Schizosaccharomyces pombe: one gene and its partners. The protein of the gene in region 1 interacts with the protein of each later gene in a pairwise test. Each region holds a gene or a part of one and is shown on either strand. Other genes may lie near its edges.

Evidence for each region. The genes of interacting proteins can lie anywhere in the genome.
Region 2: the proteins of cwf24 (region 1) and SPOM_SPCC1322.09 interact in a two-hybrid assay, tested with the Schizosaccharomyces pombe proteins (one large-scale study listed by BioGRID).
Region 3: the proteins of cwf24 (region 1) and spg4 interact in a two-hybrid assay, tested with the Schizosaccharomyces pombe proteins (one large-scale study listed by BioGRID).

What each region holds. Positions count from the first base shown.
Region 1 is NC_003423.3:3,039,545-3,044,079, forward strand, and holds cwf24 (zf-C3HC4 domain-containing and GCN5-like protein cwf24), read left to right. Parts: upstream 1-1,916; 5' UTR 1,917-2,257; coding exon 2,258-3,859; 3' UTR 3,860-3,980; downstream 3,981-4,535. Other genes in the region: vts1 (RNA hairpin-binding protein), read right to left, coding at 4,081-4,535. UniProt on the Schizosaccharomyces pombe protein: Involved in mRNA splicing.
Region 2 is NC_003421.2:1,304,603-1,308,456, forward strand, and holds SPOM_SPCC1322.09 (uncharacterized protein), read left to right. Parts: upstream 1-1,554; 5' UTR 1,555-1,591; coding exon 1,592-2,135; exon of another isoform or gene 2,136-2,193; coding exon 2,194-2,372; intron 2,373-2,526; coding exon 2,527-3,171; 3' UTR 3,172-3,295; downstream 3,296-3,854. Other genes in the region: MAPK-activated protein kinase Srk1, read left to right, coding at 1-263. UniProt on the Schizosaccharomyces pombe protein: Involved in telomere capping.
Region 3 is NC_003424.3:3,479,957-3,485,164, forward strand, and holds spg4 (AAA domain-containing protein), read left to right. Parts: upstream 1-1,600; 5' UTR 1,601-1,952; coding exon 1,953-4,178; 3' UTR 4,179-4,649; downstream 4,650-5,208. Other genes in the region: tps1 (alpha,alpha-trehalose-phosphate synthase (UDP-forming)), read left to right, coding at 1-899; hrb1 (RNA-binding and mRNA export factor), read left to right, coding at 4,722-4,742, 4,780-5,109.

The sequences.
Region 1 (4,535 bases):
GAAGTATATGACTGTGTACGTCTTACCGAAGACGATACCACAGCTTCTTCTCGAATATTTTTAAAAATAATGTTTCAGGAAATAGTGGAAGCTTTAGGTCTTAAGAGCTTGGTAGAAAGATTACACGATCCTAATTTAGTGCCTTACTTACATGGCTTGTTTCCAGTCGATGAAGCTCGTAACGTTCGTTTCTCTATCAATTACTTTACTTCTATTGGTTTGGGTGCATTAACTGAAGAAATGAGAGAGTACCTCCTTACCATGCCCAAAAGCGAGCCAAAGGAGCAAGATAGCGAAGGTTATAGCTCTGGATCCGAGACAGGATCAACATATAGTTCCTCTTATTCTTCCACATACTCACGTGGGAGATCATATTCTCGGTCAACTCGGTCATACTCGAAAAGCCGTTCTTATTCTCGCTCCCGCAGTGTAACCCCTATCAATAATATAAATCATAAAAAATACATTAGAAAAGATAGAGAATTATCTCCTCGTGGGAGAGAACGGTCATCAAACCGTAACTCTTATTCTGATCTTTCCAGGTCATCATCATTGTCAAGGGGTCGCTCACGCTCTTACACGCCGGAGGGAAGATTAATTGAATCTGAAGATAAGGGTTATCGTTCTCGTTCTTCTTCACCTGCTTCACGTAAGTATCGCTCGCGCCAACGTTATAGACGTTCATACGCTGGTTCTACAAGCAGAGGCAGGTCCTTTTCTCGCTCACCCTCCTACAGAAGAAGGTTGAGTATGTCATGTTCAGTTTCATACTCTAGATCTCCGTCTCCGCTGCACGCCCTATTTCTCGCTCTCCTGCTAGGAATAAAAGATCTTATGACTCTTTATCATACAACCGTCAATATTCACCAAAGGTATCTAGAAAAAGGTCTAATGAATCTAGGTCACCTTCACCTTACACTCTCCGGAAGCAAAAAACATACCACTTGAATAAGAGGAACGAAGACTTTGTTGTGAAGATGGATAAAAAAGGTTCTGAATCACCTGTCATATTGGCACCATGGTTGCGTGAGGTTGATGATGGCGAACTTTATAAAGACAGGAACAGTGAATCAGATAGTGTTCGTAAACAACCAAGGGCTGATTAAGAGTGATTAATGGTTCATCTTCAAAATGCAAATTGTTAAATGTGATGTCTTACTCTTGTCGTTTTTAAAAACCTAACGTTTGGAATTTTATCCATTGAACTTTTGCTTAACTCAAAATAGTTTTGTACCATAATGAATTATAATAAAAGTTGAGACACGCTATGAGTTTGTATAATTTCCTACTAAACTTTATTCGATTTCAATTCTGTAAGCATACGCTATTTGCATTATAGGTCTGAGACCATGATTGTTTGATGTGATATAATTCATAAGCCGTTGAAACAGTACTTAGTAGCTTGTTCATCAATATTGCAGATTGCAAAATAATTAGAGTTGGATGATAAATGATAATGAATTAAACAAGAATGTAAATTAGATCGTCGTAGCAACGGCCTCTTCATGTTAACAATTTCTAGTAAATGGCAATGCTCTATACGTTTAAATTGAAAATAACACCCCCATATCTCAGCCTTTTCTCATAATCTCCATAAAATAAAATAAAAATAAATATGAAAAAATCTCTAGATGTGTTTATGAAGTACCGCTAAGCAATAAATTAAAGGGAACGCTGTGCAAACACGTATTACATTGAAGGCTGTATATATATGTTTAGATTGAAAATATTAGTCATTACTATAGTAATTAAATTATTAAGACTGATTACTGTCACAAAAAGAGAACTATACATTCTTAATAGAACTCAACGTTTGTTTTGTGCCTCGTTATACTATATAATCTTAAAAAGTAAATATAAATACCTATATATTATTAAAAAATATATCTACCTGAATATTACTAAAGCCCAGATTCGGTGGCCACGTATTTAGCTTAGCAGCTTTCTAAAATTTATATATTTGCATTTCACTACAAACTTCTTCTATTTTTGTTGTTTTATTTTATTTATTTAAGGGGACACACGTTTCACAATTTTGAGCAAACAGCAAGCGCTAATATTGATTCTACTAGATATCAGAATTTTTGAAGCACTTGTTTGGGAACTGTTTTAGTGACTATTAATTGTTTAAACTATTATAGTGGTTCTATCTTGGAATTTAAATAGGGTCTCAATTAAAGAAGAATTGACGACGTTTCTATCTTGAATTTGATTTTTCAAGTGTCTTGGTCATTAAATTATCTTTGCCATACATCCAATGGAACAAAAAAATTTAAATATCAATCAGGCTTCAGGTTCAAAAATCAATACCGAATTAGCTGTTCCAATTTTTCAAAGCCGTCGGAGACATCGCCCCAGACAAGGACTGAAGCGTAAAAAAGGATTCAAACGAGATGATGACTCTGGAGGCAGCAGTGAATCATCAAATGAAGATATGCGGGACAATATTCCAATTGTTTCGGGAAGAAAAAAAACCGTTCGCTTAAATCGATTGCAAAGAGAATCCGAGCAATTCGAGAACTCTGCTTTGAAAGATATAAATGTTGAATATCAGTCAAATCTAAGCGCTACTGGTGAGTCCGTTAATACTACAACTGTTTCGGCTATCAACGAAGATACGAGAGAGGTCATTTTAGGTCGACCTTCTCCGAAGTTAGCTAATCAGTCTACTCTTCCTACTGAGTTATTCCAGTCACAAAACGATTACTCTAGATTTTTGCCTAAAAGGAAAGATTTTGAGAAAAAAAGCCAAGTAGGGCCAGTTTTATCTTCCAATGCTTCTACTGTCCGTATGAATACAATTATTGACTACCAACCCGATGTTTGTAAAGATTATAAGCTCACTGGGTATTGCGGTTATGGAGATACTTGTAAATTTTTGCATATGCGAGAGGATTACAAAGCTGGATGGCAACTTGATAGAGAATGGGATTCAGTCCAGGAAAAATACAAAAAAGGAGCTAAATTGGAAGAAGGGATGGTAAAAAATGAGAAAAAAGAGGATATACCTTTCGTCTGTTTAATTTGTAAAAAGGATTACCGAAGTCCTATTGCTACCACTTGTGGTCACCATTTTTGTGAACAGTGTGCCATAACTAGATATCGTAAAACACCGACATGCATCCAGTGTGGTGCAGATACTAAAGGTTTGTTTTCTGTTGACAAAAATTTTGATCGGCTTTTGAAAAATAGAAAATCAAAGAATGACGAGGCGGTCAAGCAAAAGGTTGGTGGTTTCGAAAGTAATAATTCCGCAACTACAGAAGTTTCGGAACGTAAAGATCGTGAAGCTTCATTTCAAGGGTTTGCAGATACGTTGGCAAAACCAAATACATCGGCTCAACAAAAAATGCCTAGTTTAGGTGATAATTCAAATACAATTATTTCAAAGTATTTTATAAGAGAGATTACTGAATCCAATATAGTCCATTTCAAACGCCTCGTTCGTGTCGTTTTAGAGGCTTCTTATAGTGACAAATTCTACCGCCTAGTTCTCAAAAATCCAGATTACGCCCGCATTGCAACATTCGAAGACAAATTCGTTGGAGCCATTAGCAGCCTTGTTGCAGAAGATAATTCACTTTACGTAACAGTCTTATGTGTTCTTGCCCCTTACAGATGTCTGGGAATTGGAAGCTTATTAATTGATCACGTCAAAAAAACTGCCATAAACAATAATATAGACAGAATTTCTCTTCATGTACAAACAACAAACGAATCAGTTATTAAATGGTATACTGCTCATGGATTTAAGATTGTTAAGCAAATCAATGATTTTTACCGAAGGCTAGAAAACAAATCAGCTTTTTATATGGTGTGCCCGTTAAGTGCTCATAATAATATAATTTCAAATCACTAAAATTCACTTATATGTTTATATTACAAAAGCGATGTCAAAGACAGTTTGTAAAATTGGTTTAAGCTTTTAATATTTGATTAGTCCACCTTTTGGCTTAAAATAAACAACAGAAATCCTCAAGCAATGAAAAAAGTATTGTCAAATATAGCGTAAAGATAAGTGTCACTAGATGTGAAACAAAAATATCTAGTTCAGTGTCATTAGTTAATGATAAAAAACTCTCAGTCCATTGATGAACTAGAAACATCCTGTTTAGTTGAATTCGAGCTTATTTCGTTAGACATGCTCCCACTTGGAAGATCCTCCGAGTCAGTATGACCTTTGAAGCTCGTTAAAGACTCCGAACTTTGGTTTTTCGCCGCTTTTAAATTTTCATTCATTTTTTTTGAAGATACTAGCGGTGCAACTTCCTGAAAACTTTTCAACAGTTTACGACGAGCACCCAGTGCCATGATGCCTCGATTTTGCAAATCGAGATCACTTAACGAAACCAAAGCATCCCAATCCGTATCCTTTAAATTATTGGTATACTTGTGTAGGCGCAAACTTCTGAGCCAGCTCGGAATATCTTGCGGAAGCTCATTACCAACATGCTTGTCTGTGTTTTTAGAATGTGAAATCGATTTTCTGGTTTTATTAGATCCCCGTGAGCTTCTACGGTATGTTTGGTTCTTTG
Region 2 (3,854 bases), on another chromosome or scaffold:
GTAACCAAGGAATCATGAATTTTATGGGTGACATGGATGATTTGATGGAGGAGAATGATGATTACGATGATGGTACCAAGAGCGTTGAACATTCGATGAAACGAGTCAACCTGTCAGGTGAAAACGATCCTAGCCTTGCTTCCCGCCAACCTGCTCAATCGCAACAACAATCATCTCAAAGGTCGCGGAATAAGTTCAAAGGTTTCCAACTCAACTTGTCAAAGGCAACTTTGTATAATCGTCGACATCGACAAAAAGTGTAACACAGACGTCTAACTTCGATTACTTTTCTTTTTTATCCAAATCAGTTGCTTTTAAATGCGATTCAGTAATGCTGATTTTTCGACACTACTACTTTGTTGTATTCTTCCTGTTTTGAATGTTTACTATTTATGAGTTATTTACCTTAAAATTTATCTTCAATCTTTTTAAAACTATCCACTCTGTTAATCAATTGACGCTTACTCAGTGACGAATATGTTCTAATAGTTGGGATTTATTCCAATACTTTCAATTTATTGTTACCTTAAATTTTCTTTATGATAGAACCATACGAATTATATGATGCTCAACAACTATTCTTAGGACTGAGATGTTCAAAAAGATGGAAACTAGTTATGCATTCTTTTAATGAAACCGTTGTTTAAATTAAAATTTTCAAGGGGTGAAATTGGAATATGGTTATTTTCAACTTTGCATATGACATGGCTTCCCAAAAGTTTCGATATTGTACTTATTTACGTACTGTGTAACCGCGATCTCTTGATTCTTTTTAGCTTGAAAGAAGAGATTGAAATATTACCAGGCCTGTCTTTTAATGACAAGGACGTTTAATGCTGTTAGATAATACCATTAATGATTTACGCATTTTTTTGTCAGTGTGTGCCAAAAAAAGCCATTTGCTCTTTGTCACGTTGTTTTTAAAGAATCTATCAATGACTGCTAGTCGTTTTGATTTGAGTAGATAGAATTTTGTGCAATATTCGCTTGATCCTGTATATATTCCAATAGTTTAGGCATGAAGGTTCTGTAGTGTTTTGTCGATGATGTTGAAGTGAAATTGATGATAAATAAATGTATTAAATAATGTTCGTTGGACGGCGTGTATTATTTGGCCAAAACGGATAGGAAGTTGCTGACCATTGTTTAAGCTATTGCTTTTTTTAAACAATGTGTAGGTAAGTTACAGCGCACGGATAATAAATATCTGTTGCTTTCTCGTTTCTCGTAAGCATTATGCCTATAAAATTCACGCATCAGTTGCACGATCAAGACCACTGTTGCATAATTGACTCGCAGAATGTCGTTCGATCAATATTGGTGAGAGAATCATAAGAACAAACATGGTACAGTAAACTTTTTATGTTATTTTTTAGATAAACTTTTTTAAAATTCACATACCTTAGTTCACGACTTTACTTTTAAAACGAAATTATTAAATTCTTTCATAATGTAATAATATAATAATAATTGCATAAAATTTTCTTAACGAGGATTTTTACCGTTATATTATAGGAGTCCTTAATGTGGCTTTTTCAGCCTACGAAACTCATCAACTAGACAAGACCGTGTGATATTCCTGCTAAACAGTATGGCAGAGACCAAAGAGCAAACTGATGATGTCGAAACATTAATGGCATCATTGGATCAACTTGGCATGGAAGCAGATCCCACTTCCAAAGAGTTCAACAACGACGACTCCAAAATTGGTGCCCCATCTGAAGTGCAGGACGAAAAAGAACTGCTGGAATTTTTAGATCAGCTTGAGAATGACGAAGAAAAGAATGAGAAAAATCCTATAGAAGAGGCCAACGAGGAAAATGAATCTGTCGCAGCTACCTCGAATGAACGTCAGCAACATGATGCATCAAATCAACCGTCTCAAGCGGCTCAGACAACTATAAATAAAAATACAGAATCCGCTACTCCAAAAACGGTTAACGAAATCAACAAGTCCCAGGAGTTCCAAGAACATGTAGAAACACCCAAACAGAGCAACTGGCTTGGTGGGTTTTGGTCCACTGCGTCCGCTGCTGTTCGATCAGCTGAACAACGAGTTCGCTCCATAAAAGGGTTTGAAGAGAATGCCAACTGGGATATTAACGTGCGTAATATGGTGGACTTGAACAAGCTTGGTAAGTAGAATTTCTCTTTTGGAAGAAAGAGTTCCTTTTGCTAACAAATGTCTTTTAGGAGATTTGAGCAATGGAATAAGGAGTAAGGCCCTTCCCACATTAAGCAATACAATTCACAACGTTCTGAACGTGGTGGCACCTCCTATTCATGATCATGAAGTTTTGCAGGTGACGGTATTTCATGATCTAGCAGGATTTGCACACCTGGACCGTATAGTGTATGAAAGCTTTGAAAAAGTAAGTTGCGTATTTACGTTTACGCTTTGGACATAGCACTAATATTTGTGCTTTCTTTTATGCTGTCACCGATTACTTGGTTTTCAAAAGACAGATAGGTCAATGCATAATCATAATTAAGTTTTATGGGATAATTTTACTGACATGTTACCAGGTGATGTTCCAAGTAGAAGGAGGTGAATTAACGGTGTTATTGGATAAGGAAGCTAAGGTTCGACCCCGAACGAACGATGTCTATGAAGACTTTGGTCTATGTAATGGTTATTTGGAAGCGAAAAAACTTGCAAAAGCCAATTTAGCTGAACCTATTACGGAGGCTAAAAAGATGAACAAAGAAAACAAGCAAGAAAATGTTGGAGCTGGTGATGATGAAGACGCTTCAGAATCTCCTATGGTTCGAGTAACTCACTTACTTCTCGTAATCCAAGCATTTACTATCAAAAATAAAGAAGTTTCGGATGATGAGCAACTATGCTTTCTTATTCACCTTAACGATACTAATCATAACTTGGAGTTTTCTACCACTTCTCAACCTTTGCCGCTTGAATGGCAACGATGGGCTGTGGACCCTCGATACATTAAGCTTTTCGGTTCTAACGCCATATTACCAAATGAATGGGTAACAGAATGGGTGGAACAATCCATTTCTGTTGCAGCAGGTATTGTTGCCCAAATGTATACCTCAAAGCGTATGGCCCTTGGCGATCCTTCTCTTTTCGCTGGTTTACCGGAAGAAGATGTTAACACTGGTTCATCTGAAACTCCAGTTCCATATTATGACGGAGCCATGTATGCCTAATTGATTCAACTTTAATGAATTATGAACTTTTGATGCATTGTTTCGAATTTAAAAAAGGAAATAACAAATGAAACTACTTTCTTTGTGCCACATAATCGTAATAATATTGACGTGCTTTTCAATATGATAGAGCAATGTTAGAGTAGTGAGCGAAGAGACTTAAGCAGTAGCACAGCAACATGTGAATGTTTTTCGATGAGAGTGGGTATATACGCTTTAAAAATATCGGTACAAGAGAATTAAAACATTTACATTAGCTGCTGAAGAGAACACAGCTGTTAGAAACAAAGCAAACTATTTGATGAGATGGAAAGGTGGATTTTCTTCATCTGTTTACACTAGCATTTCATCTATTAGCGCTCTGTAACGTATTCTGTTATTTATTAATTGCAACATATTAGAGTGGGATCATAAGACGAACGTGACGATAAACTTAACGAGCCATTCATTAGGATGCAAAATAATGGGATTTAGCGAGTTTTAATGGGCTATCTTATTTACAAAGAGAAAAAGGGAAAGTAAAAGTATTTATGGACTAAGACATGTGCCCTTTTAGAAAAGTTTTATTTGAGTGCTAGCACACCTGTTGATGATGAATAAGACCAATTAAGTATCCGCCTCATTATCGCTTGTCTTTTACAGCTAGCTCATTTACGAAACTAGGTGGAAACAGGTAACTTCGT
Region 3 (5,208 bases), on another chromosome or scaffold:
GCTTCCATACCTACGACTATGCCCGTCACTTTTTGTCTGCATGCTCTCGTATCCTTAATCTTAGCACACTACCTAACGGTGTGGAATACAATGGTCAAATGGTCAGCGTCGGCACCTTCCCCATCGGTATTGATCCCGAAAAGTTCTCTGATGCTCTGAAGTCTGACGTGGTAAAGGATCGCATTGCAAGCATCGAACGTAGACTACAAGGCGTTAAGGTGATTGTGGGTGTCGATCGTTTGGACTACATTAAGGGTGTTCCCCAAAAATTCCATGCCTTTGAAGTGTTCTTAGAACAATACCCTGAATGGGTTGGAAAGGTCGTGTTGGTTCAAGTTGCCGTTCCTTCTCGTCAAGATGTCGAAGAGTATCAGAATCTTAGAGCCGTTGTCAATGAGCTTGTTGGCCGTATTAACGGTCGTTTTGGTACTGTTGAATATACACCTATTCATTTCTTACATAAAAGTGTTCGCTTTGAAGAGCTGGTTGCTCTGTATAACGTTTCAGACGTTTGTTTAATTACCTCAACTCGTGATGGTATGAATCTTGTTTCATACGAGTACATTTGCACTCAACAAGAGAGACATGGTGCCCTAATTCTTAGTGAATTTGCCGGTGCTGCCCAGTCACTCAATGGTAGTATTGTAATTAATCCATGGAACACGGAGGAATTAGCAAACTCCATTCATGATGCCCTCACTATGCCGGAGAAACAACGTGAGGCTAATGAGAATAAATTATTCCGATATGTTAATAAGTATACCAGTCAATTCTGGGGTCAAAGCTTTGTCGGTGAGTTGCAACGCATTCAACACTACAGCCACCCTCACCCCAGAAGAACGAATCCGATTTTACGAACCAAGTCTGCTCAAGTGCTGTCGATGAATTCTAGCTCGTAAGAGTGCATTAGCAACACTATTGGTTTGTTTTCCCATTAATCAAGTTGTTGCACTTTTACACTTTTACTTCTATAATTTCATTCTCAAAGCAATTAAATCATTTGGTCATATATATTCGATGAGTTAGCAGTTTACGATACAAAGGATGTTGTTTATACTGGCACTTTTTTTATTGAGATGAATTCACAATACATGATATAATGCAACGTTCTTTAATGATTTTTTTATATGCAGAAATTCCAATCAGCTTATGGTGGTTTGAGTATTTGCTGATGATGGAAATTTGTTAGACAAGTATTCGACAATTTTTTTATGAAGTGTTGTTCTTTGTAATTTCCTTTGGTTTTATATTGAACATGATGGCAAAAAGAATAAATGTTTTGTTATTTAACCTTAAAAATCCTGTAACATTCAATTAATATTATTTTTATACATTTTTTTTGGGATACACGTGGAAGATTGTGACTAATATATCTTATAAGTAAGGATGAGAATATGCTGGACTGGTGAACGGAGTTGGACCAAGCAAATATTAAGATTAATAGTGAAATGGTTTTAAAGGTATTATTTATTGTAAGTAAACTAATTTTCAATTCTCATATAGCAAAAAGAGTTTTTTTGTGTAAATGATGAAGATGCGTCATTTACCCATCATTATTCTTCGCTACACCAAAACCAACCGTAAAGATTTAAAACTCAACAAGCACAGTGCGTATATCATAGAACTTCTATTCACGCATATAATTAGTGCTGTTGCTAGTTTTGTATTTATTTTTGTAGACTTTATCAAGTTTTCCGACAAAATCGTGGTTTTAGTGAGAAATTTTATCTTTAACTTTGTATCACTATATCTACGATTTGTATTTGCATGCCGCATTCTGCTTGTACGAAAACAATATTTAATAAGGTAATAGGATATAAAAGGAGAAGTGTAGTTTGTGCACTTCAGCCAATATAGAAAGAGAATAACGTTTCCAATCGAGCCGATTTAACCTCTTTCCATTGAAAGGTAATTGTTTTTAATCAGTTGTAGACGTTAAAGAATGCACAAAAATGAGCCTTGAAGACTGCTATAACGTCACACAGTCATATGCCGCCGTTGCAATTCATAAAGAGCAGACTGCTGACTATGTGGAGGCTATCGCTTTATTTCAAAAGGCCAAGCGGAACATTCTCATGAATCCAGAGTTTAAGTATGCGAGGGAACGCTTACACGTGATGGATTATGAAGATAGACATTATGTGGAAACATTACTCTGCATGTTGGAGCAGTTGACCATTCGAATTGAGTTCCTTACCAAAGAGATTGCGCAACAAGAAGCTGCTTATAAGGATATTCAAAATACACAAAAGTCACTTGTAACACAATCTTCTACTGGTAGCGCTAATGTTGCTTATATAAGTGGAAATGGTCCTGGCGATCGCTCATTTATCGATGATGGTAACTATAGTGCGTCTTCTTTTGAGCGTCAAAATAGAACAGCTCCTTTACAATCTAAAGTGACAACGGCATCCTTAAAACCTAATATTCCGCGAACATCTATGTCCTCTTCACCTACAGCTTCGCGGACTTCGTTGCGTAAAGGCGCTGGTGAACTAGAAACACATAGCGCTGTTAAATCTGCTAAAAAGGCCAGTGTCAAGAGTAAATCAGTGCTTCCTCCAAGTAAATCGCTTGCTAGGACTGGACTTCCAGCTGAAGTCTCTACCCAGAACAATGCCAATCGAGCAGCTCTATTGGCTTGGGGATCTTTGAATTCATCTAAGCCTAAGCATGCTCTCCCGCCATCATACATATCATCGGAAGCAGCGCAGGCATCTCGATCATCGTTTCAGGTTGAGCGTCATCGTCCAACTCCCGATAACTCCGCCGTTATTGAAGCTGCCCGCCGAACTTACTCTTCTATTTCCTCCTCTTCCTCACCCTTCAAAAAGAAAACGCAATCCCATCTCCCTAATCGTACCACTGAAGTACCTTCTATATCAAAACAGTTATCAAAGTCATCTACCTCAATCGCAACCGTCGCGCCATCTCTCGCTTCTGTTTCGTCAGTTACAAAATCGCCATCTCCCACTCCTCAGTCAGCTCCACGAGCTCAATCTGCTTCCACTGAAACTGCGCAAGATCTGGATTTCCTTACACCGCCACGTTTATCTGTGAACAACCCTTTTCTGAGTGATCTCTATCCAGCTTCCGAACAGGGGCTTTCTTCCTGTGAAGAGAAAGATTCGCCGGTTGATGGCGATGAATTTTTCAACCACACAAACGAAGAAGAGATTATTGAAAAGCAGTTTCAATCCACATCTATCTCTGCAATGACTTCTGAAAAGCAAGAACAAATTCTGCGTGAATGTCCAGACATCGACGAAGAGCTTGGTAAGAGTATACTTCGAGAAATCGTGGTTTCGGGTGATGAAGTTCATTGGGATGATATTTCTGGGTTAGAATTTGCTAAGCACTCTTTAAAAGAGGCAGTGGTGTATCCGTTCTTGCGTCCAGATTTGTTCCAAGGCTTGCGGGAACCAGCTAGGGGGATGCTTCTTTTTGGGCCTCCAGGAACTGGTAAGACAATGCTTGCGCGAGCTGTTGCTACTGAATCCCGTTCTGTCTTTTTTTCTATTTCAGCTTCTAGTTTAACATCCAAGTTTTTGGGTGAATCCGAAAAACTTGTTCGTGCTCTCTTCACTTTAGCAAAAAAGCTGTCTCCAAGCATCATTTTTGTTGACGAAATTGATTCACTGCTTTCTGCTAGAAGCAGTGATGGAAATGAGCATGAAACATCGAGAAGAATAAAAACAGAATTCTTAATTCAGTGGTCTTCGCTTGCAAGAGCAGCTGCATCTCGACAAACCGCCGATCACCCAAGAGTTCTAGTGCTTGCCGCTACCAATTTGCCTTGGTGTATCGACGATGCTGCTCGTAGACGATTTGTCCGTCGTACCTACATTCCCCTCCCTGATGAGACCACTCGTCGCTTACATTTAAATAACCTTTTAAAATATCAGAAGCATTCTCTTTCCTTAGAGGATATTGAGGCTATTGTGAAAGCAACCGAATATTACTCTGGCTCTGATTTGACAGCATTGGCAAAAGACGCAGCTATGGGGCCTTTGCGAAGTTTAGGTGAGTCTTTGCTATTCACGAAAATGGAGTCGATTAGGCCGATTAATTTAGATGACTTTAAAACTAGTATCAAGGTAATCCGGCCTAGTGTGAACTTGCAAGGGCTGGAACGATATTCAGAATGGGACAAAGAGTTCGGATCCCAAGGGCATTGAGTCTGTCTTCTTATTTAAAATTCCTAGCCTGATACCGATTTTTTTGGTAATCACGTTGAAAATTTATTTATTGTCTTTTAATACATGGCTTGTGCAAACTTATGATTATAACTAATAAGGACAACTTTTGCCTCAAGGAATTATTCATGATGATAATAATGGTGCTGTACCAAAAGCCTTTTTGTTTACTCCTAATATATTCGTTTGTCTCTTTTTTGTTGATACAATTTATGCACAGTCTTTGAATTTTTCAAACACTTAATATTAACTGAGGTTATCTCTAACCCTAGTTATTGTTTGAGTTTCCATTTTTATTACGACTCATTTACAAACAACTAAAACTCCTTACTATGATTAATTAGTCAGTACATGTCAATATTTATAATTTAAATGTTTACAGTTTTTTTATTCTATTGTTCTTTTAGCGAATCTAAGAGTTTACAGTATATCACTTACGAAATTATATTGCAGTTACACTATAGAAGTCAAGTTGTTGGGATGCTTTAATTATGTGAAGATGCACACTCAGCTTATGCTCTTGCGATGCCTAAACCTATAGAATGGGTATGATAACTATTGATTGATTTAGCTGATCAAATAGAATGAATTTGATTCAGGAATGGGTAGTAAGTTGGATGTGTCAAGTTCCTTGAATTCATCGTCTTCCAATATGGATCGTGACAGATCGGAGTCTCCGAAGCGACATGTCAACGGAAGCAATTCATTGAAACGTGGCTTGCATTTTGATGGAGAGCACACTGAAAGAGACCCTCACTTGGGAAATGGCCAAAAGTACACTCAACAAGAGCGTCGCGTGTATGTTGGTAATTTGTCATATCAAGTTCGTTGGTTTGAGTTGAAAGAGTTTATGGGACAAGTTGGCAATGTTCTTAATTGTGAGATTTTGAATCTTCCGAATGGATTATCGAAGGTAAGTTTGCTTCATAGAGGGTGGGTTTCATGCGACTAGTAAATCATTGTCTATTTAAATTGTAACGTTGAATCGATCCAATTGAACGTTACTTTTAAA